Cricetulus griseus: one gene and its partners. The main gene of each other region encodes a partner of the protein of the gene in region 3 in a complex. Links are inferred from orthologs where the notes say so. Each region holds a gene or a part of one and is shown on either strand. Other genes may lie near its edges. The genes, in order: Nup160, Nup205, Nup98, Nup153, Nup85, Nup107 and Cetn2.

What was found.
Region 1: Nup98 (region 3) and Nup160 share a complex: the UniProt entries of both Homo sapiens proteins name them as parts of the nuclear pore complex. The link is inferred for Cricetulus griseus from reciprocal best matches to the Homo sapiens genes NUP98 and NUP160.
Region 2: Nup98 (region 3) and Nup205 share a complex: the UniProt entries of both Homo sapiens proteins name them as parts of the nuclear pore complex. The link is inferred for Cricetulus griseus from reciprocal best matches to the Homo sapiens genes NUP98 and NUP205.
Region 4: Nup98 (region 3) and Nup153 share a complex: the UniProt entries of both Homo sapiens proteins name them as parts of the nuclear pore complex. The link is inferred for Cricetulus griseus from reciprocal best matches to the Homo sapiens genes NUP98 and NUP153.
Region 5: Nup98 (region 3) and Nup85 share a complex: the UniProt entries of both Homo sapiens proteins name them as parts of the nuclear pore complex. The link is inferred for Cricetulus griseus from reciprocal best matches to the Homo sapiens genes NUP98 and NUP85.
Region 6: Nup98 (region 3) and Nup107 share a complex: the UniProt entries of both Homo sapiens proteins name them as parts of the nuclear pore complex. The link is inferred for Cricetulus griseus from reciprocal best matches to the Homo sapiens genes NUP98 and NUP107.
Region 7: Nup98 (region 3) and Cetn2 share a complex: the UniProt entries of both Homo sapiens proteins name them as parts of the nuclear pore complex. The link is inferred for Cricetulus griseus from reciprocal best matches to the Homo sapiens genes NUP98 and CETN2.

What each region holds. Positions count from the first base shown.
Region 1 is NC_048599.1:86,086,676-86,090,249, reverse strand, and holds part of Nup160 (nuclear pore complex protein Nup160), read left to right. Parts: intron 1-1,221; coding exon 1,222-1,432; intron 1,433-2,484; coding exon 2,485-2,707; intron 2,708-3,574. UniProt on the Homo sapiens protein: Functions as a component of the nuclear pore complex (NPC). Involved in poly(A)+ RNA transport.
Region 2 is NW_023276806.1:192,769,118-192,773,402, forward strand, and holds the start of Nup205 (nuclear pore complex protein Nup205), read right to left. Parts: upstream 2,809-4,285; coding exon 2,781-2,808; intron 1-2,780. UniProt on the Homo sapiens protein: Plays a role in the nuclear pore complex (NPC) assembly and/or maintenance. May anchor NUP62 and other nucleoporins, but not NUP153 and TPR, to the NPC.
Region 3 is NC_048596.1:97,239,808-97,243,381, reverse strand, and holds part of Nup98 (nuclear pore complex protein Nup98-Nup96), read right to left. Parts: intron 3,265-3,574; coding exon 2,835-3,264; intron 1,533-2,834; coding exon 1,303-1,532; intron 1-1,302. UniProt on the Homo sapiens protein: Plays a role in the nuclear pore complex (NPC) assembly and/or maintenance. NUP98 and NUP96 are involved in the bidirectional transport across the NPC. May anchor NUP153 and TPR to the NPC.
Region 4 is NC_048596.1:266,381,784-266,385,357, forward strand, and holds part of Nup153 (nuclear pore complex protein Nup153), read right to left. Parts: intron 1,405-3,574; coding exon 1,048-1,404; intron 190-1,047; coding exon 1-189. UniProt on the Homo sapiens protein: Component of the nuclear pore complex (NPC), a complex required for the trafficking across the nuclear envelope. Functions as a scaffolding element in the nuclear phase of the NPC essential for normal nucleocytoplasmic transport of proteins and mRNAs.
Region 5 is NC_048600.1:128,156,054-128,160,420, reverse strand, and holds the start of Nup85 (nuclear pore complex protein Nup85), read right to left. Parts: upstream 2,814-4,367; 5' UTR 2,702-2,813; coding exon 2,669-2,701; intron 880-2,668; coding exon 786-879; intron 1-785. UniProt on the Homo sapiens protein: Essential component of the nuclear pore complex (NPC) that seems to be required for NPC assembly and maintenance. As part of the NPC Nup107-160 subcomplex plays a role in RNA export and in tethering NUP96/Nup98 and NUP153 to the nucleus.
Region 6 is NW_023276806.1:138,571,312-138,575,395, forward strand, and holds the start of Nup107 (nuclear pore complex protein Nup107), read left to right. Parts: upstream 1-1,280; 5' UTR 1,281-1,427; coding exon 1,428-1,435; intron 1,436-2,226; coding exon 2,227-2,318; intron 2,319-2,733; coding exon 2,734-2,820; coding exon of another isoform or gene 2,821-2,845; intron 2,846-3,804; coding exon 3,805-3,938; intron 3,939-4,084. UniProt on the Homo sapiens protein: Plays a role in the nuclear pore complex (NPC) assembly and/or maintenance. Required for the assembly of peripheral proteins into the NPC. May anchor NUP62 to the NPC. Involved in nephrogenesis.
Region 7 is NC_048604.1:2,887,034-2,891,191, reverse strand, and holds the start of Cetn2 (centrin-2), read right to left. Parts: upstream 2,867-4,158; 5' UTR 2,822-2,866; coding exon 2,720-2,821; intron 2,715-2,719; exon of another isoform or gene 2,584-2,714; intron 2,565-2,583; exon of another isoform or gene 2,436-2,564; intron 719-2,435; coding exon 560-718; intron 282-559; coding exon 153-281; intron 1-152. UniProt on the Homo sapiens protein: Plays a fundamental role in microtubule organizing center structure and function. Required for centriole duplication and correct spindle formation. Has a role in regulating cytokinesis and genome stability via cooperation with CALM1 and CCP110.

The DNA of each region.
Region 1 (3,574 bases), on a different chromosome or scaffold from region 3:
CACAGAGAAACCCTGTCTCAGAGAAAGAAAGAAAGAAAGAAAGAAAGAAAGAAAGAAAGAAAGAAAGAAAGAAAGAAAGAAAGAAAGATACCTTGCAGAATTGTATAAAGTGGCAGGCAGTATCTGTGATAGGTATAATGGGCAGCGCAGGCAGTAGAGGTGATTAGAATTATGAATTTAAATTCAGACATAATGACTGTCGACAGAACATTTTGGCTCCCTTGTTGTGACTTGGATTTAAATTAAGCGCCCTCCTTCCCCTCCCACACATGCTGCTGCCAGTTGCATTTGTGTCTTATCAGACAGAATCTATTGAGTGTCAGTTCTGATTCAGATACTTCTCTAGGTCTGCAGATATCCAAGTAAACATGGAAGTTACCTCTACACTCAAAGTACTTATTGCCATTTATTCAGAAGCTCTCCTTGAAGAGTAATAGTGCTCAACATGCAGCTATTTTTATATTTTTAAGAATATTAATATTGACCTTTACACAGCAAGAGCAAAACTCATAAAATTGCTATTTTTAAAATATGCTAAAAAGTAATAGAAAGAGAAATGTGCTTATTTATTGTTTGTTTGGTGCTGTAATGTGCATGGATACCTCGTTCCTGAACAAGTGATGGGTGGAGTTAATTTTTATGTAGTAGAATTTACCTTTTGTTTTTGTTTTTCAGGACAGGGTTTCTTTGTGTAGTTTTGGAACCTGTCCTGGAACTCATTCTGTACACCAGTTTGGCCTTGAACTCACAGAGATCCATCTGCCTCTGTCACCCAAGAGCTGGGATTAAAGGCGTGAGCCACCATCAACCAGCAGTAAAATTTATCTTAAGTAAAGTAGGGACTAAGAAAATGGGATGTATATTTAACGTTGCTGTAATGATATTTAGATTTTGTTACACTGTTTTCCTAAGTCTACATAACTTGTCCTTAAATGGAAAAGTGGTCTGAGCCAGACATGGTGGTGCACTCCTTTAATCCCAGCTCTCAGGAAAACAGAGGCCGGTAGATCTCTGAGTTGGAGGCTAGCCTGGTCTATGTAGTGAGTTCAGGGCAGGCAAGGCTATGCAGAGAGACCTAGTCTCAAAAAGAGAGAGAAGAAAAGTTACCCAAATTGTCTAATCTTTTCAAATTTGGAGAGTTCATTAAGGCACTATTATCGTCTATTTTATTGCGGTAGTCATTGAGAAAGAAAAACTTTAATTAAATCTCTCTTTTAACAGGAAGACTTCTGGGGATACATTGGAGCTGGTGGAGGAATCACTGGACATAAATTTGTTGAATAATGCAGTTCGCCTAAAATTCCAAAATTGCAGCATCTTACCCAGTGGAGTTCATGTCTCTGAAACTCAGAATCATGTGATAATCTTGATATTAACCAATCAGACAGTGCACAGGTTAATTTTACCACACCCTTCCCGTATGTACAGAAGTGTAAGTTGATTGTTGTGTGCAATAACTTGTTTCCTATATTATGCTAGCTATCACAGATTTAGGACTGGAATGATATCTTTGAAATGGAAAGAATTTGGATTCCTTGTTAACCAATCATTCTTTATAGTTATTGTTTGAAATAATTAGGCTTGGGGATGTTATTCAGTCATAGAGTATTTGCCTCTCATGAACAAAGCCCTGAGTTCTGTCCTCATAAGTCTAGCTTGTGCTTGTAATCCTGCTACTGAGGAGATGGAAAGAGAAAGATAGAAGTTCAGGATCATCCTAGAGTTCAAGGCCATCTTGTGCTTCATGAGGCCCTGTCTCAACAACAAAAAGATTAAACATTCAAGTTGATAAAATAGTTTTCTTTCTTTAAAAAGGATAGTTTTCATTAGGTACTACAGTATACATCTGTAAGCCATTAACAGGGAGGCTGAGGTAGGAGGATTTAAGTCTCAGAGCAATCTCAGCTGTACAGAGGAGGTTCCTGGCCAACCTGGGCTACATAGTGACAGCCTGACTAGCAGGGACGGGGGGAAGGTTTTTTGTTTGTTTGTTTTGTTTTTAAAGACAGGGTTTCTCTTTGTAGCTTTGGAGCCTGTTCTGGAACTCACTTTGTAGACCAGGCTGGTGCCTAACTCGAAGAGATCCAATGCCTGCCTCTGTTTCCCAAGTGTTGGGATTAAAGGCATGTGCCACCACTGCCTGGCAGGGAGGAAGCTTCATCTCATGCTCAACAATTTTTTTTGGAACATTTGTTTTTATACCTATGAGTGTTTTGCCTGTATGCATATAGATATACCAGATACATGCAGTGCCTTTGGGGGGCAGAGGGCATCATATCCCCTGGACCTGGAGTTACAGGCAGTTGTGAGCTACCATGTGAGTGCTGGGAACAAAACCCAAGTCCTCTCTAAGAGCCACAGGTGCTCTTAACCACTGAGCCATCCTTCCAACCCATCAATATCTTTTTAAATAAACATTTTTAGTAATTGAGAGGAACTCAACAAAATTCAGGTTATTTCAAAACAGATTCTTTTTCATTACAGGAGCTGGTAACTGAAAGTCAAATGCAGTCAATATTTACTGACATTGGAAAAGTTGATTTCAGAGATCCTTGCAACTATCAGTTAATTCCAACAGTACCTGGACTGTCCCCAAGTTCTACCACCTCTGCAGCCTGGCTTAGCAGTGATGGGGAGGCTCTGTTTGCTCTTCCGTCTGCTGCTGGCGGCATCTTTGTTCTTAAACTACCTCCTTATGACTTACCTGGTAAGAATGGGAAAGGAGCATGAATTTATCTTTAGTTGTCAATGTTGACATTAAAACAGGCATTCCATCACATCCATTGTCAGTGTAGGGGTTGAGTCTGCATTTTTCCTGCTTTCATTATTTCTTGCTTGGTCCCTGCTGCATACCTTTATTCAGTGGATGAGGAACTAGATGGGATGCTGGGTATGGGAAACAGATTACATGTATATTAGCCTATTCTAAGTTCAATAGTAGACATAAATTATTAGTTGTTCCACCCTCATACTGAAGTACTGTATTTACAGAGAATGAATTTTGGGACCAAGTTTGACAACTGATCCCTGTTCCAAGTCACCACTGTCTCTTGCCTACATTATTGGATTAATGTCCTAAATGTCTCCAGATCTGCCCTCCCATTTCAGGAACTTCCCAGGCAGATTGATATAGTAAACATTGGTTAGGGGAGACTAGAGAGATAGCTCAGCAGTTAAAAGCACTGCCTGCTCTTCCAGAGGACCCGGGTTCTATTCCAAGTACTCATATACCAGCTCATAACTGTCTGTAATTCCAGTTCTACTGGATCTGATGCCCTCTTCTGGACTTCAAGGGCATCAAAGTGTCATGCTTATATATTTGCATGCAAAACACCCATACACATAAAAAGCAAAATCATGTTACTTCAGTGTTCATCATGATCTGAATAAACCCAGTCTCCATACATTGGCTCACAGTGAGTGCCCCGTTGTCATCTCTAACCTCATTAGTTCATTCTTTTCCCTTGCTCTGTATACCAGCTACATGCCCCTTTGTGGTTCTTTTTTTGTTTTTCTCAAGACAGGGTTCCCTTTGCAATTTCTTGAAGACACGATACATATTCCTAACTTGGAA
Region 2 (4,285 bases), on a different chromosome or scaffold from region 3:
GGGATGGGTCAGTGGCTAAGAGTGCTGCTCTTACAAAGAGTCCAAGTTAGGTTTCCAGCACCCATATCAGGCTCACAACTACCTGGAGCTCCAGCTCCAGTGACTCTAATGCCCTTTTCTGGACTCTACACACAATATAAAACATCTGCTAAACTTGGTGAACTACAGAACACAGAACCCTAACTAGAGCTGTTTAGGAGGATAAGAACAGACTAAATGCTGGCAACACTAGGAAGTGTGGAAAGGGAGCCAGTGAATGCATACTGACAATCCCCTACAAGGTTTGACAATGAAGAAAAGCAAGAGCATGGTAAATAAGTGAACATGAGATGAAAGCAAAGACAGGTTGCTGGGAAAATGGAGCAGGAGGAAGCCACATGAAACAGAGAGTAACAGAGGAAGGGCATAAAGGGTGAGATTTACCACTGGCAAGGTCGCAGGAGGAAGCGATGTGCAGAAGTATCTAGATTTTCAGACACGAGAGTGAAAAGATAGATGCTGCTCGCTTTTTCTTTCTCTAGGTCCATTGGAGGGTAGAGGTTTGAGAAGTGGAAAGGGTATGAAATAGTCCCCACTGTGAATTAAGCAGGGGTGGCCAGGTTGTCTAGCAGTGTCACTAGCTGCTTACAAGCTTAGGAATGTAACTACTTGGTGGGCATGATAGGTCACAACAGTGTAAGCCAGTTATACCCAACAGGTATAAAAAAACTCTATAGTCATCAACCCTCCTTTTCTCCTTCCACACCACTTAAGTTGTTGTGACTACAGAAATAATAGAAAACATGGCAAACAATAGCTACTTAACTATTCTTGTGAACAGCAGCATTAAGCATATTCACACAGGTGTTACAACCAACACAGTGTTACCTTTTTAATCTTGCAAAAGTGAAATGCCAAGGCAGGCCTGGAGGTGCATGCCTGTAACTACCAACCACGCAGCACATGAGAGGCTGAGGGAGGGATGTGATGCTCTAAGGCTATTCTGAGCTGCCCAGGCTACATCATAAGAGTACCCCCCAACACACACACTTTTTTTTTTATCTGAAACTTTCTATTCCTTAAATATCACTATCATCTCTCACTTTTCTAGCCGCTGGCAACTGCCGTTCTAATTCTACTTTTTTGTTGTTGTTTTTACAGTAGCTACACTTGGTAAGTGTAGTTGTTTTGTTGTTGTTGTGTATGTGTTGTATTTCACTTAAAGTCCTCAAAGGTCTTCCGTGTATCACGTGACAAGATTTTCTTTTTAATACTGAAGTTAGTCCTTTGTGTGCACATCATGTTTCGTTTATCCATCCATTCATCTATAAATGCTTAAGCTCTTCCCAAAGATGACAAATAAAAAGAAAATAACTCTCTTGGCTCCTGGCTTTTTTAAATGCTTGCTTTTCTTGCTGCCAATTAAAGCTCTCTTGTACAATGTGTACTCCTGGGAGTACTGACAACGGCTTCTTTCCCTCAATGGTTCAGTTTAACATAGGGATATTATATGCCAAAAGTGCATGTAACACAGCTACAACACGGAAGCCAAGGCTCTAAAAAGTTTTAGTGGTATATTATGTATCTACTTGTGGGGGGCAAGCATGATATGATGTCACAAATCAATGCAGTGCACACGGGAGCACACACACACACAAAGGGTACACCCACACATATGATGTCACAAATCAATGAAGTGTACACATACACACACACACACACACACACACAAAGGGTACACCCACACATATGATGTCACAAATCAATGAAGTGTACACACACACACACACACACACACACACAGGGTACACCCACACATATGATGTCACAAATCAATGAAGTGTACACACACACACACACACACAGAGACACACGCACAAACTCGCACGCACACGAAGGGTAGGCCCACGCATATGAGGCCCACGCATATAATGTTACAAATCAATGAAGTGTACACACACACACACACACACACACACACAAAGGGTACACCCACACATATGATGTCACAAATCAATGAAGTGTACACACACACACACACACACACACACACACACACAGAGACACACGCACAAACGCGAACACACACGAAGGGTAGGCCCACGCATATGAGGCCCACGCATATAATGTTACAAATCAATGAAGTGTACACACACACACACACACACACAGAAACACACACAGGTATACACACGCACACACAGACACACACGCACACAGACACACACACGCACAAACGCGCGCGCACACACACACGAAGGGTAGGCCCACGCATGAGGCCCACGCATATGAAGCCCACGCATATGATGTCACAAATCAATGAAGTGTACACATACACACACACACGCGCGCGCACACACAGAAACACACACAGGTACACAAACGCACACACTCACACTCACAGAGACACACACACAGACACACACGCACACACAGACACACGCACACACACAGACACACGCACACTCGCAGGGTGCCAGGCGGGAAGAAGGAGCCGGCCCGGGCCGCGCGCCCCACACACTCTCGCACGCACGCACACACTCACCCCGGCCCCGCCGCGCCGCCTCCGCTCGGAAAGCGCTGCTCCAGGGCCGGGCCGCAGCCGCGCCTTCGCGCGCCATTCAAACCGCGGAGACGCGGGGCCGCGGGCCGGGCGCGAGCCGGCAGGCGTGGCGCTCGCACTCGGAAGAGCCTCGCCGCGCGGCCTCCCTCCCCCGCCCCACGCCCGAACAGGCCCCGCCCCGCCCCGCGGCCCCTGCGGGTCTCCCGTGGACACCCCACGGCCGCCCAGGCGCGCTCACCAGAATTGACCGCCAATAGCGCCGCCATCTTGGAGGAGGACTGCGGAGCCCTCCCTCGGCGGGGAGGACCCCGGGCCGCAGGGCCTGCCCGCGGTGGCGCCTGAACAGAAAGGCGCCCCGAGGTCGCCTGAGCACCGCGCGCGACGCTCGGGCGGGTGGACGCAGGACTCCAGACTCTGCTCCGACCCACGGCCGCAGATTCTCGCGGCGACCATTCTCGTTCAAAGGAGGCGAGGGCCACCGGCTCGGAGATGGACCGTGCAGTGCATCCTGGGACCTGTAGTTTATTTCCAGGGAGACCTGAAGTTGACTGGTGTGGAAAACGTACATCAGTGGAATAGTAAGAAAAAAAAAAGTTCTTCAAGAGACACCCACTTATGGTTTCATAAAATTCCTAAAGACAAACAATTACCTTCATTTCGACTTAAATGTTATTTGAATATCTCCCTTACCTTGAGGGAGTAGAAGTTATTACAGCATTTCTATTTAGTAAGTATATTGTGTAGACGTTGCATTTTATGAAACGTTCAGACATCCACAAAATATGAACACTATCTACCCGATTTCAAAAATGTCACCCGTTTGCTTCCTCGCCCCCAACATTATTTTGAAGCAAATTCCAGACACAATTTCATAAACACCAAGTGTTTTTCTACCTAAGCAACCAAAATCACTAAACGCACTTGCTAAATTTTAGTTTGCTAACTTCTATGTTTTCACAGGAGTTTATTTATTTTTACGGTACCAAGGACTGGACCTAGGACTAGCTCATGTTAATCAAGTACTCTGACACTGAGATATTATTCAAAACCTTTTTTTTTTTTTTTCCTTTCGAGACAGGATTTCTCTGTGTAGCTTTATAGACCAGGCTGGCCTCGAACTCACAGAGATTCCCTTGTCTCTGACTCCCGAGTGCTGGGATTAAAGGTGTGTGCCACCACTGTCCCACTCTAATTGAACTCTAAATGACCCTGCAGTCATTTTTAGCCAGGCTACAGGAGGAGCACTCTTCCTGGTGTTGGCTCATCGGAGGATTTGTGATTGGTACCGATCATAATTACTTATATGCATAAAGTATTGTGCCATGATTGGTGCAAAACCCCTACTGTATACCCTTTCTGGTTATACAAGCCCGCTGTTTGGCTCTCTTTTGAAGTCATCTGGGAAACACCCTTTTTGTACTGCCCCTTGTTGTTGTATCCTTAAGACCATTAAAGGGCTTCTCTCAAAAATAAAATCTATTTTTTAATCTGTAAGATTAAAATGACATGCTGGGCTGGTAACAGGAGAGTTGAGGTGACAGCAGACCCGTGAAAGAAGCAAAGGTGACAGGGAACGGCAGTAGTGGTCACAGCAACAGATTCAGCAACCAAGATCCCACAGGGTGACGAGGTACTGAAACCATAAGAATTGACAGAGGCAAGAATGGATGGTGGAAATGTAAAAAAGTCAAGAGAGGGCAGATAGCCAAAGCTAAAGATAAAAAGACATGAAGAACAGGAGGG
Region 3 (3,574 bases):
AAATAACTAAAAAAGAAAAAAAGTAATAAAACCAAACAAATCAATAAATCGCTAAGCAAATGAGCTAACACTTTTCAAATGAAGTAAAAATCTTTAACCACTAGGGGGGGGAAAAAAACCCTTGAGATTCCATTTCACCCCAGTTAGAATGATTAACATCAAGGAAAAATAAAACAAAACCAAAAAAAAAAAAAAAGACAAATACTGGCTGATGACTTGTAGAGAAAAGGAAATTTCAACTTGTTGCTAGAAACGTAAATTAGTCCAGTCACTATGGCAACCAGTATGGAGGTTCCTGAAAAAATTAAAATCTAACTACAGTGTGATTTAGCCATATAACCTCTTATCCCAAAGAATTAAAGTCAACTCATAAAGAGATATCTGAACACCTACTGTGACTGCAGCATGATTTACAACAGCCAAGTTAGAGAATCACTCTTGATCTCAATCAACAGAGGTAATGGATAGAAAAAGTGTGGGTGATACACATGGTGGAGGTTTACTGAGCAATCATGAAGAATTAAACTAGGCCATCTGCAGGTAAATGGATGGTAAGCAAAATAAGCCAGACTCCAAGCAAAATCAAATCAAATCTGTATCCCATGCTCTCTTTTACAAGTGGAATTTAGGAAAAAGGAAGTTTAAAAAAAAGAAAGGAAATCTATGCTAGTGGCATATGCCTTTAACAGTACTTGGAAGACAGAGTTAGAGGCTAGCCTGGTCTATAGATTGAGTTCCAGGATAGCTAGGGCTACATAGAGCAACCTTGTCTCAAAAAACAAAAGAACAGACAGACAGATATACATGAGTGTAAAAAGGACTAACAGAGATACAGAAGGGATAAAGTTAATTAATAGTTATAATAGAGGGTGAATATGATCAAATTATGTTCAGACAGACAGACACACACACACACAGTTAGCACATGCCAATAATGATAGAGGGCAAATAACAAATGCAGATCTCCTGACACAATGATAATTACAAATCTAAACTTCCTACATAGAACTTTAAGCAATGTTACTAAATGTCTTTGTCATTTGTCAGTTAAAGGGTTTCTTTTCACCTACTCTCATGACACTACTATTACTTTTTCAATCTAACTAAAGGCTTTTAAGTTGCATAAGAATAATTACAAATGGTAACTCATAATTTCTTTCTTCTTGTCCCAGGTGAGTTGCAGAAATTCATTAAGCACAGGAAGTCACCTTATACCTATAAAGAATATGTCTCCTAGAAACACATGCTACTGTCAACATGACTCCTGGGATGTCAAAGGTTAGCAACATGATGAGTACTTACTTTGTATTTCCAGTAAATCTCTGGGTGATTCCTTAACCCAATTTGCATAATCATGAATGACTGAAACTCCAGGATTGGGGACAATGAGAGGACACAGCTCGTCTACATGGACAGTGCTATGTTTTAACTTGAGCTCCAGAGGTGTCTGGTATAATTGCTGATCTTCATCCAGCTTCCTTTGTCTCAAACTGAGTTTTTCCAAATGAACTTTGAATGGGGATTCAGATAGACTGGAAGAAACAACGGATGAGTCAGAAAATGAAGAAACAGGTGAAATTTACCTATACCAGCTATTGTTTCTTTGCTGACTTCCAATAGAATAAGAAGCATTCCAACAGAGCTATATTTGCAGCTCTCAGAGCTTATTTCTGTTTTTAGAAATGATTTTTGGGATATATTTTTATTTAAGTGTATGTGTGCAAGCTGTGGTCTGAGGCAAATGATGCTTGAAGAGGCCAGGAGCAGGTGTCAGATACCCTGCACTGAGTTACAGCAAAACTGCCCAATGTGGGTGCTGGGAACCAAACATGGGTCCTCTGAAGAGCAGGAAATACTCTCAGCCACTTAGCCACCTTTATAGCCTCAGCTTTTTAAATCTTTTTTTTTTTTTTTTTTTAACAGCCAAGTGTCTGGAAACTTCTTTCTTTCTTTTTTTGCTTCTTAAATCTTAAAAAGACTAATTGGAGATGGACTGAAATAGTAAGAAACATTTATACTGTCAACATGTATAAACTCACTGAACAAATGTAGGATAGACGAATGAACTGTAATGCAACAGAGCACCGATCAAGGTACAAGTGTGGGTGGGAATCAGTAGTTAGTGGTTTCATCACTTGCTTGTGATGACACTACAAAATTCAAAGGCCAAAGCTTTATTATAGAATACCTAATTTGCAATTACTTTGATGTCAAGAGTTATAAAGACTAACTTTTTGATTCTCCAGGCTTCACTGCCCAAGTGACTAGATTATATAGGTGTATACCACCACACATGGCCAGATTCTAGATTACTTATTCCTTTGTTTGTTTTCGTTTTAAATGAAGGGCTAGAGACTGAAGCCAGGGCATGCTAGGGAAGTGCGGTTCCACTATTCTACTGGGCTATATCCTAGCACTTGAGTTTCTAAGATAGGTTCTTAGATTCTTGCTATATAGCTCAGGCTAGCCTACAACTTGTGATCATTTCTGCATATCTTTGAGTGCTAGGATTCAGGTATGTGCCCCCATGTCTAGAAAGACTCTTAAGTTCAGATGAGCAGAAGACAGCCTGACCTTGATGCAGTTTAAGATATTAATAATCTCCAAAATCTTATATCATCATCTAGAGTCAATCATTAAATTTAGAATGGATTTTCCTAACTGTGATGTTCAAGACACTGATTTTTGTTTTTCCAAAATCACCTTCAAAAATAAGTAATCATATTCATTTAATTCATCCTAAATGTAGATAAACTTGTTATGTAGTATAAAAAAATAAGAATAGCCCCCAATTACAATGTCATTCGCAAAAAGCACCAGGAAACATAACTTACGATTTAACAGCTACAGGATTGGGCAGGAATCCATATTCCATAGAATCGGCAATCTGATGATTTTCCAGTTCATGGGAGCCATGTAGTTGTTCTCCACTGTTAGCAAGAGTCCAGTTGGGGCCCCAACCAACCCGAAATGAACGTCCCATGAATAGAGCCATGTCCATCAGGAGTTTCCCCTTGCCATATGTAACAGATTTTTCAAGAGGGACTAGCCCTGGTTGCCTGCGTATCCCCACTGTTTTCAGCTGAACCTCAGGAGCTGGGCTGGGCACTGTGAACACAGTGGCCAGTGGCAGAGGGACAGACCAGGGGGATGTGGATGGGACATTCATTAGAGATGATGTTCTGGGAGTTCGACATTCTTGCATGGAGGCATTTGGTGAAAGAAAAGCTCCACTTACAAATTTTGATTGCAGCAACCCACCAACTGAAACAAGGAGAAAAAGACTCTAAAACAACAGCTTATTTCTTCCATAGCAATAAAAACCACTAAGGGTGAAGATATTCCGATTTTACAATAATTACTTTTGTTTTTGATTTCTTGAGACACAGTCACTATGTAGCTTATGTCCTAGAACTCACTAGGTAGACCAGGCTGGTCTCACCACCACACCTGGCTACAATATAGCACTGGCTATATTGATCTATATAGATCAATATGTAGATCAAGATGTCCTTGAACTCAGATCCCATTTCCTCTGCCTCACTAGTGCAAGGATTAGAGTGTGCCATCGCTG
Region 4 (3,574 bases), about 170 Mb from region 3:
CAAAAGTAGGTGGTGGTGCAGGCTGGGAACCAGCAGAAAACAACGATGTTGAAGATGATATAGAGCCAAAGCTTGGAGGGTTAGGTTGGCTGGCACCTTGACTTTGTCCAAATGTTGGGGTCGGGTTAGCACCAAATGCTGGACTGGCAGATGGTGCTGAATGTCCAGTGCCAAATACAAAGGAGGATCCTGGAGGCCAAGAAACACTTAAATCAACAACATCCAGGTTTGTAGTGAGATTACTCCTGAAAAGCTCTGTAAACCCACAAGCCAATTTCAGGCCATTTTTCAGACTCTTACCTTGATCATAAGCTTTGATGATTAGACCAATGACACTATTTACTAAAACATACACTAATTTAACAAAAACTTCAAATAACAAACTCTCCACTATTGCAACCAACAATCTTCTACTAGGAGGAGGAATGTACTTAAGACAGGGCTAGTCTGGAACTTACTTAGTACTTAGGTTCAACAATTCCTTCCTAAAATGATGCAGCATATAAGGCTTCCTCTGGGTACACTGTATGAGAGAGCTCACATATATCACTATCACCACTATCACTATCTGGCTGCTTAGGAATTTGACAATCCAAAAAGCAACTTAGAAAAATTATATATTCTTCCTGAAATTAGGTTTTCTTTTCTCTCTCCTCTCCCTCCCCCGACTCTCCCTCCCCCGCCCTTTTGAGGCAGTGTTTTTCTGTGTGGCTTTGGCTGTCCTGGAACCTATTCTGCAGACCAGGCTGGCCTTCAAGTAACAGAGATCTACTTGCCTCTGTCTCCTGAGTGCTGGGATTTAAGGCGTGTACTACCAAGCCCAGCTTGAAAGAACTGTTCTTGAGAGTTAACGCATATATAACCTGAACATAAACTGCTATTTCTCCACAGGTGGAAACTTGCAACATCCTACATGTAGGTGACTTTGAGGCACTCAAGGCACCCGAGACAGATTAGAACCTGCAAGAATGTGCTACAACTGGCACACTTATAGCAAATCCAATTCAACTACAAAATCCACTTTTCCCCCTCCTATTACTAAAGTACCTGAAGAGCTTGATGTGGTAGCTCCGAAACTGAACCCCGATGATGCAGTGCTGTTGCTGCTGGCTCCTGATCCAAACACAAAGGGAGGGGCAGCTGAGCCAGTGCTGGATGTGGTGGCTGGCTTGCTATCTTGAGGGAATAACAAGGACTGAGATGTACTGGACTCTGCAGAGTTACCAAAGGCAGAGCTGCTGACAGGATTGCTGGCCTGGCCAAACACAAAGGCTGCCACAGGAGGGTTGGAGGAAGAGGTGGAACTACCAAATATGCCACCACTGGATGAAGTGGCTGCTGGTGCACTTGAACTAGAGGAACTGCTGTTCAAGAAGCTAAAAACTGGCTTGGCTGCACCTTGATCTGCAAAATAATAATTGAGAAACAAACATAAACCTTAAAAACAAATTGCCTAACAATTTTTTTCTATAATATAAATTAAGATTATTTTTATACAGTCTGACTCATCAAATAAACATCTACTAACACTTTAAAATATCAAAGTGTGTATCTTTTATGGTTTATGGGTTTTCTCTTTATACAAAGACCTTCAACTTTCAAATAACAAGTCTATGCATATAAATTTAATGTGAAATACACAGTGCCTCACATCCAAATCTAACTTGATACTGTATTCAGAAACCAAATTCAGTTGGGTTGGAGAGATGGCTCAGTGGTTAAGAACACTGGCTGCTCTTTCCAGAGGTCCTGAGTTAATTCCCAGCAACCACATGGTGGCTCACAACCATCTCTAGTGGGATCTGATGCCTTCTGTCATGAAGGCATACATGCAGTTAGAGAACTCATATTAGGGAAGGGAGGGAGGGAGGGAGGGAGAAGGGAGGAGGAGGGAGGAGGAAGGAGAAATTCATACAGTAGAAGCTAGATGCACTTTTATGTGTTTTGACTGTACAGTTTGTCATATTATAGCAGCAGCACCCTAACTTTATCCACATCAACAAATCGACAAATCAACCTCCTCACAGCACTGACTTCCCTTCAGCACTTGCTAACCCTTGCTACCTAGTACACTCTGTGGAACCCTAAATTAACAATGTGTGCATCTATTCCCTTTGCTGTCACTGCATGCTTCTCAAATTCCTTGTTCATTCACTTTCCCTACAAACTGCTGAAGTAACTTAGCTTCACAAGATATACAAAAACTAAGAACTGAAATGAAGGGAACAAAATACTTTTCCCATGAATGAGTTCATCTTCTATGTTCCTGCATTTACTCAGCATTACCACCATTGTAAATTAGAATAATTAAAAAATACAAGTCATGTAAATGCTGTACAACTACTGACTACCAACTTAGAGGACACCTTCTGATTTTTACACGGTAATGATGAGTTTACAATCTGACAAACTTTCCTTTCTACTTTCCCAGTATCTCAGCTCCAACAGTACACAAGAGATGGGATGGGCAACTGCTACAGGTGAAATTAAGAGTTCATGGTCAAATATGATTAGAGCATCTCATTTTTTTCCCATTTCAATGATAATTTTAATTCTGATTTTCTTTGTAGGTTGTTCTTAAATTTCCAAGTAAATATCAAGTAGGAAAAAACAACTTACCATTATGTGAATTTCCAACTTTAGGGTTGATTATTATTCATTGTTTCCAAGTAACATGTCCAATTTACAATCTTTGCATGCCTGAAAATAGCTACATTTTGCTTTTATGTGTGATCAAATTTGGCTAGTTACACAATGATTCAAGGTTATTTCATTTGTAGAGCACTGTTTAGTGCTCGTGATAAAACCCCGGGTTTTGCACAAGCCTTGGAGAGTGTTCCTTTTACCACTGATTAATGGCCAACTTCCATTTTTAAGGTCAATGTCTATCTTAAATTTTAACTCTGTGTGTGGTGTGTACTACTGGTGGTTTTGAGCCACCTGAAATGAGCACAGGGAACCAAACTTGTATCATCTTTAAAGAACAGCATGCATGGCTACCGAGCCCTTCTCTCCAGTCTCAGTGTCTTATTTTATACACAGGAACCATTATGTCAATGTTTTAGTGTTTCCCTATATCATTCAATTTCAAAGTCACTTACAGATGCAGCTGTCCATCCTTAACACTGCTCTGGGAAACCCCATTACAATAATGAGCTAGATGATGCTCTTTCTACTATTCCATAAGCAAAAGGCTTTACTTCAACAACCTTCTCTAGTTTTTTTCCTTCTTTAGCTTTTTAATGGGCTTTTGTATCCCCTTCTAGTTCCCCAAATTACCTGATTTCTTAGAGTTAAACTATATTTACTCTCTATGTTCCTCACTTTCACTCATTATCGGTAATTGTTTGTAAACTAAAATTCAACATAAGATTTTTCCCTGACAGCATGCATCAACTATAAGGTGTCCAAATGACATTAAGACATATATAATGTGCCCCATTCTGCACATTCAATTACAGCTGTATTTCTCAAAATTAGATCTGTAGGTATCCCATTCCAACCATGGGTATTTGGTTCAATTAAAACAGAAAAGCATGAGCTCTTTCCTCAAGACTTTTTTTAAAGATTTATT
Region 5 (4,367 bases), on a different chromosome or scaffold from region 3:
TAAAATATAGACTAATAGAAATAGGTTAATTTGCTGGGCGTTGGTGGCGCACGCCTTTAATCCCAGCACTCAGGAGGCAGAGGCAGGTGGATCTCTGTGAGTTCGAGGCCAGCCTGGTCTCCAGAGTGAGTGCCAGGATAGGCTCCAAAGCTACACAGAGAAACCCTGTCTCGAAAGAAAAAAAAAAAAAAAAAAAAAGAGAAATGGGTTAATTTAGTTGTAAGAGCTAGTTAATAAAAGCCTAAGGAATTAGGCCATACAGTTTATAATTAATAAAAATTAAGCCTGCAGGTGGGTTATTGGGGAACCAGCAGGCAGAAGAGAAACTTCTAGTTACAGAGTATAGGCTGCTCTTCCAGAGGATCTAGGTTCAACTCCCAACACCTCACATGGCAGCTCACATATGTAACTCTAATTCCTGGGATCCAATGCCCTTCTTTGGCCTCTGCAGGCACCAAACACACAAGTAGTGAATTAATATGCATGTAGCAAAATACTCATACACAGAAAATAAATTTAAAACATTTTCACATCAAGTGTAGCAGTTCACACCTCAAATCCCAGCACACTGGAAGCTGAGGGGGGAAGATGTAGAATTCAAAACAAACTTGGGCTACATAGCAAGACTATACAAATTCAAGCCGCACTATAACTATATTAGGGGACCCTATCTCAAAATTACAAAACAAAAAGTTTCAAAAATAAAAATGTTGCCAAATAACTACTGTTTCTGCCCCCAGGTAGTCAACAAATGTGCAAAGACAAAATGAACAAGAACAAACTACCTTTTTTGCTGAAGGAAGTTTCACACAGGAGCATCTCCCCGGGACCCCAGTCAAAACACATTTGCTTCTTTTTGGAATTCACGCCTGGAATCCACTAGTAAAACATAAAGCACAGAACTGTTATCCTAGAAGGGGTTTTCTTCTCCATCCATGTGTAATCATCAGGCTGGGCACTGTGAGCACTCGGGGAGCAGCGGCAGGTGGGTCTCTGAGTACCAGGTCAGCCTGGTCTACACAGCAGGATAGCCAGGGCTACAAAGAGAAACCCTGTCTCAAAAGACCAAAAAGGAGGAAAGGAAAGTCAGCCCTGACTGATCTTCCAGAAGACCCAGGTTCAATCCCAGCACCCACTTGGCAGCTCACAACTATCTGTAACTCCAGTTTCAGGGGACCCAACACCCTCATACAGATATACATATAGGCAAAATGCCAACGCACATTAAGACAGTCCCTACATAAGCAAGGCAGTCTGACTGGGTACCCCAATCCAGTTTGTCACTTCTCTCTCAAGAAGCAAAGCCCAGAGTGGCAGAACACACCTGTATCCCAGTACTTAGGAGCCTGAGGCAGGAGCATCACTAAATTCAAGGCAAGCCTAGGCTACCGAAAGGGGAAAACAACAAAAATACTTAACTATGTTAAAACAAACTCCCATCAGCCTGTGCCACCTCTGCAAACCATGAGTCTAAATGTTTCTCTCCAGTTTATACCAATCCCTTTGAACCTTGGATCAGATCTAACTATCCAAGCCATACAGATATGGGCTATTCAATCACTTAAACCCACAAACAAGAACCAAGAAGAAAAACTTCTCCCCTAAAAGATAATTTATTCACGTGCCTACGAGATGACTCATCGGTTAAGAGGACTAACTGTTCTTTCCAGAGGACCAGGGTTCAATTCCCAGCACCCACATGGCAGCTCACAACAGTCAGTAACTACAGGATTCCACACCCTCACACAAACATACACACTGGCAAAACACCGATTAAAAAAAAATTAAAAGGATAATTTATTCACAAGACAGACAAAAAAACAGGAGATACAAGTACCACTTGCTCCCACCGGGTTTTTTTTTTGTTTTTGTTTTTGTAAACAAGGGCCCAGTTTCTCCCATCCACTTCCCAAGTGCTGGGGTTATGCCCTTGCTTTTGGAGAATGGTCTTGCAACCTAATTACCAAGCTAGCCTCAAGTGATGAGTCCCCAGCCTCAGGGTCCAAAGTCCTGGGCTTAGGCAGGGGCATCATAATACCTGGCTAAGAACTTATCACAGATTATCCACATTTGACAAAACGGTGCTGGAGAGGGGGCTCCCGAGGCTAACTGTGTTTAGGGTTCTTGCAAAGGACTAGAGTTCGGTTCCCGGCTAAAAAACACCTGTAACTCTAGCTCAGGTGGTATCCGACGCACACACGTTCTTAAAAATATTTTTACAAGTCCAAGCGAATAGAATCCAAATCGACGGAAACTGGCAGCCCCACAGTCTCCAGAGAGAACAAATGAGGTATCTATTAAGCCTCGGGCCAGCACCACAGGAGAGGGCGACGCTAACTGAGCTCTCAGAGCGGCGATGTGGGACTTACACCGAGCTCGCTCCAACGCCCGCGGAGGAGAACTAGACAAACAGAAAGATCAGAACGGCAGGGGATGCAGTGGGGCCTCCGGGGCCCGCGGAGAAGTCCCGGGAGCTGAGCTGAAGCCTGGGGACCATCACCGCCCCCACCCAGCTCCCCGTTCATCTGACACCCGGGACGGTGCCGCCGCGTCCCGGGCAGAAGCGTGCGTGCGTCCCGCGGCTCGGAGGGAAGGCAAGCCTGTAGTGACCCAAGAAGCGCAGCCTCACAATGCGACAAGCAAGCCTGGCTCTCGCGGGCGCCCTTACAGTTATTGCGGGCTCGCAATCGAGCTCCTCCATTGCGCTGGGGCACAGCGGACCGGACCTCGCCGCGCCGCCGCCGCCGCTCTCCGCTCAGGCCTCCCGCTCACAGCCAGCTGCCAAAGAGGACCCCACCAGGGCGGCTTCCGCAGCGCCTGCGCAACCCAACGCAGCAGAGCCCTGCTTCTCAGCCGCCACCCAGCCCTCTGCAGCCGCCCATTCATACACCACCACCCTGCCGGGGACAACGCCTCAGGAAAAACCGCGCAAGGGGCCACCCGTCCTCACGGAAGGCTCCCACCGAATCAGGCGGCGCCGAGGGCACTCCCACACCTGGCAGGGAGAAGGCCCCCGGAGATGGCGGGAGAGACGGCGGCCGGGAGGGGGCGCGCATGCGCGGTCCTCCGGAACGCGTCTCCGGTTGGCTTCTTGGGAAACGCGCGCTCTTCCCGCGGGGCGGCGGGCGCTCCCTGCTCATCTGCGCTGTCAGGGCTTCCCGGCCCCGCGCCGACCGCCGTTCTTCTGCGCTCGCTCAGAACGGCCGACTAACACCTGCAACAGGGCACGGAACGGGAAGGGGGCCAAGCGGCAGTCCCGGCGCCGGGGAAGTGGAGACGGGAACCCCGGGGTCCGGGCCCGGCCGGAGGGTGAGCTCACACCACGGCTCAGTGAGACCGTCTCAGAAGACCAGCAGCCCCACAAGGTGTCCAGGAAATAAAGGAAAATCCCTTGGCCGTCAAAATTTCGCCCAAATCCTTGTCGCGGAAATCAGCCCTAATGTTGTTAACATTTACGGGGCTGGAGTGTTGGGTCCCTGGGTAAAGCGCCCTGGCTGCTCCTCCGAGGATCCCGGTTCATGTAAAACAACAGATCCCATGCCCGCTTCGCCAGACAGACAGACAGACGCGGGACACAGACACGCAGGGAAAACACTGGTATACACACAATGAAATAATTGTTTAAAATATTAAATTTACTGTAATTTGTATTTTAAATGAATAACTCATTTTGTTTTTCGAGACAGGGTTTCTCTGTGGCTTTGGAGGCTGTCCTGGAACTGGCTCTGGAGACCAGGCTGGTTTCGAACTCACAGAGATCCACCTGCCTCTGCCTCCTGAGTGCTGGGATTGAAGGCATGCGCCACCAACGCCCAGCATTTATATTTAATTTAAAAAATATAAATTAATCGTTACGAAAAACATAACGATTTACCACATGTATTTTGCTACCTTTTCCAAAAGTTTCACAGTGTCATTATAATCACTGACTCCAACAGTATATACATTTGGGGTGGGAGAAAAGGGGGTTCAAGACCGGTTTTCTATGTAGCTTTGGAGCCTGTATTAGAACTTGCTCTGTAGACCAGGCTGGCCTTGAACTCACAAAGATCCTCCTGCCTCTGCCTCCTGAGTGCTGGGATTAAAGGCGTTTGTCACCACAGCCCAGCCAGTTACACGCAAAAATAATAAAAATAAATTTAAAATAAAGGGAGCCCAGTGGTGGCACACACTAGTCCTAGCACTTGTTGGGGGTGGGGGGGTGGGGGGTGGGAGGTAGAAGCAGGCAGATCTCTGTGAGTTGAAGGCTAGTCTGGTCTGTAAAATGAGTTCCAAGATAGCAAGGGCTGTTACCCAGAGAAACCCTGTCTCATTCAACGATAACAACAACAACAAAAAAAAAGAATGAGTAAAATAAAGAGTAACTT
Region 6 (4,084 bases), on a different chromosome or scaffold from region 3:
TGCTTCCAGAGGAGCTGTGTTTCCCCAAACCTTTTCTATGGTTTTTTGTTTGTTTGTTTGCTTTTTGTTTGTTTGCTTTTTAACTATTCCATGAGCTCTTGATACCCTTCCAGTACTTTTTTTTTTTTTTGCTTAAGTTAGACATTTCTGTCATGGTGGCCAAGCACCCTAAACAAAAAGCTAGTATGTATACAATATACACCCATACAGGAGTTTATTTCACAGAAATTTAAAGTAATCAAATGTGTATCATTTAAATATTTTAGGGTGCATTTTGATGTTGATGTCTGTAAGTTAAAGGGGTCAGATATGGTCCAGTGGGCAAGAACAGTAAAGAAAGTAAACATGACCATTCCATTAGGGGTAACATTTTGTTATGGGTAAGGAAGAGAAATGATCCAGAGGCAAAACTGGAAGAGTCCAGAGCAGAGAGAAAGAGAAACAGACTATGGACAGGCCTAGGGAAGATGGGGTAGTCAAGATAGCCAAAGATAGAGTTTAATGACAGGACAGCAAAGAATAGAAATTATTTGGGGGTGGGGGTTGGAAGGAGGACAAATAGCTATCAAGGAGGACCCCATTTGAGGATGGAAAACCTCAAGTTCCAGAGGGATGCTGGCTTTTATCTAACAGCCAGAAATCCTATGGTTCAGGTTGAGCTCATGTGGAGGGCCTGAGACCTAACACTCTGAGATGCTGGAACAGGTTAAGTCTCTCCATGCTTAAAACTTTTGAAAAATATTATATATATATATATATATATATATATATATATATATATTTGGTTAGGATCTTATTCTTAGTCCAGCCTGGCTTCAAACTCATGGTGATCCTCCTGCCTCAGCCTCCCAAATGTTGGTATTACAGGAGTGAGCCCATGTGGCATTTATGCACTGCTTTTAATTTTTAAAAAGACGGCTGAATCTGTAAAGGGAAAATAAATAACAATGATAGAAAACAACTAACCCGCCCACTGAGGCTACACCACAAGCGCCCGAGACAGGCCCGTGTCTGTGGAGTGTTGCGGGATGCCAAGGAGGAACGCCAAGGCGGACTCCATCGGAACCCCAGTTTAGCCACTTCTGGCTTCTCAGCAGGACGCCCCACCCAGACCACGCCCACAAAGGCCGCTCGGGGCTCCGCGCCAAGCCCCGCCCCTTCCCGCCCCCTCCCAGCCTAGCTGGCACCGCCCAGTCACGCAGGCACGCCCTGGCACACTTTGGCGCCTGCGCCTACTCGGTCGACGATAACTGCGCATGCGCCAAGTAGGAACACTTTCTCCGTTCCCAGTACTTTTCGCAGGGGCTGGCTGAATCAGGGGCATGCTTCCGGGTCGAAGGGTTTACTTCCGGAGAGCGGGAAGGCTGAAACGCGGTGGCGGCATTGCGGGCAGATTTGCGAGGTTCTAGCTGGCGGAGGCCGCAGCCATGGACAGGTGAGTCCTGGGGACGGCTGGGCCAAGACTTGTGGCTCTCGCCGGTTGGCGGGACGACGTGGTGAAAGCGGAGGAGGAGCCGAGGGTTGTACGTTCACTCCTTCCTTCTCCCTACCTGGGATTTGTTGGAGGAAAGGCCACTTGGTATGGGGGCAGCCAGGATGCAGAGGATGCAGATCCCCGCGTTCCACGCCCCGGCTCCGGGGTCTGTTGGGCGCTCTCTCGCCGCCGTTCGCCCCGAAGTGGGCGGGGTAGGTAGGTAGTGGCGGCCCGGCATTCGAAATGCTAAAGTGAGCAGGCAGTCCGAGGTCACTGCCGGTGAGCAATACTTGACATCTCAGTACTTTGCAAAGTGGCTTTATCGTGGCTATTAATACATTTCAGTTGTACGTTAGTACACTGTGATCAGCTTAACTTGAAGAGCCAGCACCAGGTAGCTGATTTTTCTCATGTAATCTGGTGATTATGCTCGCCTGGGACAAGGATGGGTTGGTTATTCCAGTCGCTTGGCATCGAGGAACCGATTGTGTAGTGAAGAGAGCCAAGCAGGGTAATACTGTGTTATACTGTTCTGCGGGAAAATAAACAGAGGGGACGTTAAATTCCCCGTCACAGGTGTGTCAGGGAAACCTGTCAAAGGTAACTTGCTAGCTGGTACTCCTGGTAGAAAGGTTTAAGGTTTGGCTGTTGGAGTGACCTGTCCTTTGACTGACTCAGGGTCCTTTGCTCTAACTGCAGTGATAAAGTTGTTTTCGTAAATGCTGCCCAAAAGCTTAATTACACTATTTTAGGAGTGGCTTTGTGGAGATGCCATCCCCTGTGATCCGGGAGGCAGAAGTGACAAGGACTGCAAGGAAGCAAAGTGCTCAAAAAAGAGTTTTAAGTATCCTTTGTGTTTTAAGAATTACACAAATTGCAGAATGCTTTGAATCAATGTTGCAGGATTTTCTTTGAGTCATTAGACATTAACTGTGGTAAAAATTGGCTTATTACCTCCATGGGTATTTTACTTGGATACACACTCTGGATGAACTTCAGTGAGGTTAAGATTTCTGTTTCTCTGGTTCCCTACTAGTATGTCATGGTGCTAACTAGTAGTCAGTACATATTATCTAACTCTGATCTGAGAGTTTAATTGACCGAAGGAATTAACTACTATGTACACAGGAAACGTGGTAGCTGTAAAATGCTTTGTTCTTGACAAAAATGTATTCATGCATCTTGTGTAGTAAATCTATTGTTATCGTTAGTAATTTTTTTTTCTCAACATGGAAAGCTTTCCTTAATTCTTCCCAAAGTTCAGGCCAACCAAGATGAAAATTTTGGTAATACTACACCAAGAAGCCAAATTATTCTTCGAACTCCGAGCTCATTTCGACAGCCTTGTAAGATTTTTGTTTCTGCTTTTAAAGTATTTAATAGAGTAGTAGTCATAATATCAGCTAACATTTATATAATTTGCATAATGAAATATGTGGCAACAGTATCAGGAACTAAGCATAGATAATAATGGTTATAGTTATCTGAACTCTTATGAATAAGGACTGTACTTTATATTAATACATAGTAATGGTGACATACTGTTAGTTCTCCAAACTAGAAGGTGGACTTGGAGGAGCCAGTGGGAGTGAGTGGGTGCTGTTATTTAGACATTGAAAACAGAGTTCAAATAACAGTCTGGTTTGCTTTAAAGTCCAGGCCCACTACACTCACTGTATGCCTCATTGTGCTCTCTGAAATCAGACAATGAAGGATCTGCTGACTGGTGCCACCTTGGTTGTTTTAATTTTAAGTCTGTGCAGTTAACATTTATATTGAAAGTATCTTTTATAGTAAAAAAAATTTAGTAGTAGTATGATAAGCTCAACTTTAGAAAAATAAGCTAATTCTTCCATAACATAAACATTTTAAAGTGTTTGATCTGAATCTAAATAATTGAAAATTGAGAAATTGTTCTTTCATATGTAAGTGTGGGTGTTTCATGTTCATGTGTATGTAGATGCATGAATATATACATGTTCCTGATGAGTGTCTGGAGGAGTGTGCGTGTGCCTGTGTGTGTGTACATGCACATATGTGTGCACACGTGTCTCCAGGTGAACCTTGGGTGTTAGTCCTTGGGAGCCTTTAAGACAGTTTCCCATTAGGACCTAGGGCTTTCTGATTAGTCTAGACTCTCAGGGTCTCCTGTGTCCTCTCCCTGGCACTAGGATTACAAGTGTGCACCTCTGTTCCAGAGTGTCTTACTAGATGCTAGGGATCAAACTCAGGTCCTCACACTTGTACCACAAGCACTGTACTGGTGGAGTCATCTCCCCCATACCCGGGAAAATATATTTGTTGCTGGTCTACTTGCTCTGTGTTTACAGTTCCTGGCCTTTCACTTGTTACCCCACCAAGCCGAAGCTTACTAAGACACCCAGATATTTCCTGCATTCTCGGAACGGAAGGGAAGTCTCCCCGGCACACACAGTCTTCTGGGTTCTTGGGAAATCTATCCATGGTATGTAGAAATAAATAATGCACTTAAGTATTTGGCTTAAAAGCCTTTTAATGCGCCGGGCGTTGGTGGCGCACGCCTTTAATCCCAGCTCCCAGCACTCGGGAGGCAGAGACAGGTGAATCTCTGTGAGTTCAAGGCCAGCCTGG
Region 7 (4,158 bases), on a different chromosome or scaffold from region 3:
CAAATGAAAATTAGGGATCCTCTTAATTATAAATACAATGCTCAATCATGTGAATGGTATAGATTTTATTGGATGAAGTTCTTTTTATGTCTAGATTCCCATGTATCTACCATTATGGATGGGAAGTATGCTCATTATCTCAACTAACTTACCATTTTCTGAGTCATCACTGTCAAAAAGTCACTGAAGTTCATTTTTCCTGTCCCTTCCTTATCAATTTCACTTATCATCTTTTTGATTTCTTCTTTCTTAGGTTCAAAGCCCAGAGCCCTCATTGCAACCTACAACGAAAACAGGATCATCTAAATAAACACATATAAATGATGTAGACGCAAAAATGGCTATTGATGATAATAACAAAATGGTGAAAATGATTAGGGAACACTGTAAAGCTGATTTAATTGATATTTGCAATCAACTTTTATCATTAGATCATTGTTTCAGGTTAAATATACACAGGGTACCTTTTTCTGTTACTTTTTACAGGGAGAAAGGTGATAGGTAAAAGACAAACAACAAGGAAACACAAGGCACCAAAACAGGAATGTGTGCAGCTTGCCTTTAGTTCCTTGATGTCTATAGTTCCAGTTCCATCAGCATCAAAGAGATCAAAAGCTTCCCGGATTTCCTGTTTCTGTTCTTCAGTCAGTTCAGGCTTAGGGCTCATTCTTTTTCTCTGGCCACTGGATGCCATGTTTGTCTTCTTAAAAGTAGAGGCCTTCAGACATTATACAAACACAGAAGCACAGTATTATAAGCCATAGTCCATATTTTATTTATGACAGTTCTAGACATTCATAAATTTTTCATTTATGCTCCACTCTGAGTAATGTACATGTCATTCTATAAACTTTCATAAGCTGGTGAGATGTCTTGCTGCCAAGCCTGACAACATAAGTGAGAACCCAGCACCTACATGGTAGAGAGAATCAACTCTTCCAAGTTGTTCTCTGACCTTCATGCTCAGACTGAGTCCCCTTCTCCCTTACACAAATAACAAGGGTTCAAACTAAGTAAAATTAACCCCAACTCTAAAAAAAATCCTGAGAAGAAAAATAGAAAAACTCTCTTTAATTTAAAACCCCTTTAATAAGTATATTTTAGCTTTTAGTATCACATTGTAAAAAACAGAAAATCAGCAATACACTAATTAAATGACTGTGTTCTACCATAACTGTAAATTAAAACATCATTTCTGTTAATAATGTAATGTCTCACATGATTAAATCCAATTATATTTCACTGGGGAGCCAGCAGCCTGAAGGGACTTTTCATTTTAAAATAATATATTAACATTTTTCTCCTTGTCCCTGTATAGATCAACATAGAGCAAATGAATATATGAATATGAATTTCTGGTGTTAACATGACCAGTTTTTCATCACAGGATATAATTCTGGCCTCCACTGTCTTCAAGTTTATACTACAGATAGTGTATTCATTTGTACCTTTAATAGACATGTCACTTTAGAAAATTAAATTTTTTAAATCAAGATTTCTTAAATCAAAAACTTTTAAATATAAAGAAGCAACATTAGCCAGGCGTTGGTGGCGTATGCCTTTAATCCCAGCACTCGGGAGGCAGAGGCAGGTGGATCTCTGTGAGTTCGAGACCAGCCTGGTCTCCAGAGCGAGTGCCAGGATAGACTCCAAAGCTACACAGAGAAACCCTGTCTCGAAAAAAAAACAAAAAAAAAAGCAACATTAAAAACTCTTTGAATGAGAATAACATGTTTACCTAAAGGTTCAACATGCTTGCATTTTCTCCTTCTTTTCTAAAGCTAGTAAACAGCAAATTTGAGACCATATCTGTTTGTAAGTAATAAACTTATAATTTTATTATGAATAGATTGTCACAAATTTCTATATTGTATATTCAATTAAAGCAACACGGTGTGGTTTAAGTTTTCATTACCAAAGATGAAAAAAAAGATCCCTCCTTGTTCTAATGCCACTGCTAACTCAGACAGCTGATTAATGGAAAAATAATTTATACCAACTGATTCTAAAGATCTGCCTAATAAATTGAGCAATAAGGAAGTTTCCTGGAAAGAACAATTAATGTTTCTATGAACCTCTGACTCTTTAAAAAATATTGATTTTAGAGGCCAGGAAACCCCTTATTTTTCATCCTGAAAGAAAGCTAGGTGAGAAACTAATTATGCATACTTAACAGATATCAACTGTCTGTGAATCTGGGGATCTGAGTTCTAGACATGTACTTAAAACATCAACTTAGGATGCTAGTTCCCAATCCATTTAGCACTTGGTGCCTTGTCTGCGAAGCTCAAAGCATCTCCTGAAAGCCTCAATACATTTGTGACCATCAGAACATAGTAAATCTCTTAGTACCACGCATAAACTTTAGCAGGTGGCAGCGGCCAGGACGCCTGTGTCTGTCTGAGGTCTGAGTCTGTGGGAAGCCTGAGTGTTACCTGCAACAGAATGGTCACCTGTGGTTCCAGGAAAACCAGCAGAGATCAACAGGCAGATTAGGGGTGACTGAAGGTGACTGGGGGCGGGGAGGGTTAAGTGTTGAAGCGCAGGCAGGCTAGCGGCCAGAGGCTGTACTTTTTCTCCTACCCTTCCGGCATAGAGCTCCAAGGAAGAACTAGTACGCCAAAGCGAAGAAGAATGCAGGAAAGGCTGCAGGGCCGCAATGAGGCCTAGGAAGGGCTCGGAGGCACTACGCAGGGTCCATGGAACGCCCAGCACTTACCATCGCCGAATGGACTCCTCCGCGACCGGTTGTTAAGGCAACGCGTACTCGCGGCCTCGGCGCCTTTCCCACTGCTCTGCGCGCGCGCGACCCGCTTCCCATTGGTTTGCGGACGGAGAAGGTGGGGCTAACCTGGCAAGGTCCGCCCCAGGGTAAGAGGGCAGTGTGGTGGCGGCAAGGACTGACGATCTCATTGGACAAAATCGCGCTGTGAGCGTCAACTGGCTGCGCCGGACCCGCGCTAGACCAATCAACGTGAGGAAGGAAGCTCGGCTGATCATGGGCCCATACCTCTCCGTAGAAAAGGGTGTCTGGTCTTGGGTTGAAGTTCGCTGGTTGCAGGTTGCTAACAAGCTGAAGTCGACTGCAAGAGTGCCTAAACCGGGTAAGAGTTGCGGCCTTGCTCATGGAGGCTGCTGCGTGTGAGCAAAAGAGCCGGGAGACAATGAGAGAGAATGGGTGGGATATGGTAAAACCCGAGATGGGAACACAGACTATCTATGGGGCCAGGAAAGATTTGGCCTAACGGGTTGCAGGGGTGACTATTTGGGGCAGCTGAGGCCTAGAAAGGGGAGTGGGCATGCTGACTGTTGTATCAGCGGTTCACGGGGCTGGGACTTAGAAACTCAATGCAGGCGAGTCTTTGTGAATGTAGTTCTCAAGATGATGAACTGGGGACTTTCTGGGTCTAGAAAAGTCATCAGAATGTGCCCTTTTAGAACGTGCAGACACAAAAGTCACATGAGAAGGACCATTCCTGGATGAAACTTCCTTCAAAGAAAAGCTACAGGGATTTTGGAAATGTTGGATGCATAGAGCATTAAACAGAAATGTGTGCAGGGGGGGGGGTGGTGTTACCTGGAACTGTTCCAGAAATAATGGAGGTCCACGGTCAGCTACAGCAGTACCTCAACCATCACACATGCTTCCCTCAAGGCATAGAATATTAGTTTGGGGACATTAATGCCATAGCATCAGTTTCTCAAACTGACAAAGGCCAGAGAAACTTAACAGCATACTATAAATGTAATGTAGGCCGTTTACCTTCCTTCCTTGGAGCCATGAACCAGATTCAAAACTTTTGTATCCCATTCGACCACTCTGTTCCCTCTAGCAGCAATCCCCCATACCCAGCCCCTGGATTCTCTCAGTTCTGCCTTTGAAGTGTCTTTTCTTTTTTTCGGCTTCTTCCCAGCCCTTCATCAACATTATGAGCTGGATTTATCACCAAAGTCTCCCTGGCATGCAACTCCTCCTATCATACCCACACTGGTACACACCTCCTCATCCCTGGCTAACTCCCACCCAAGACACTGCTTTCATGACTGATAAACTCTTCCTGCATTGACCTTACCCAGCCCCATGAACTTTGAAAAAATACAATATTTTGATTAATTCTTTGAGAATTTTTGTCACAGATGTGTATAATTTTTTTGTCA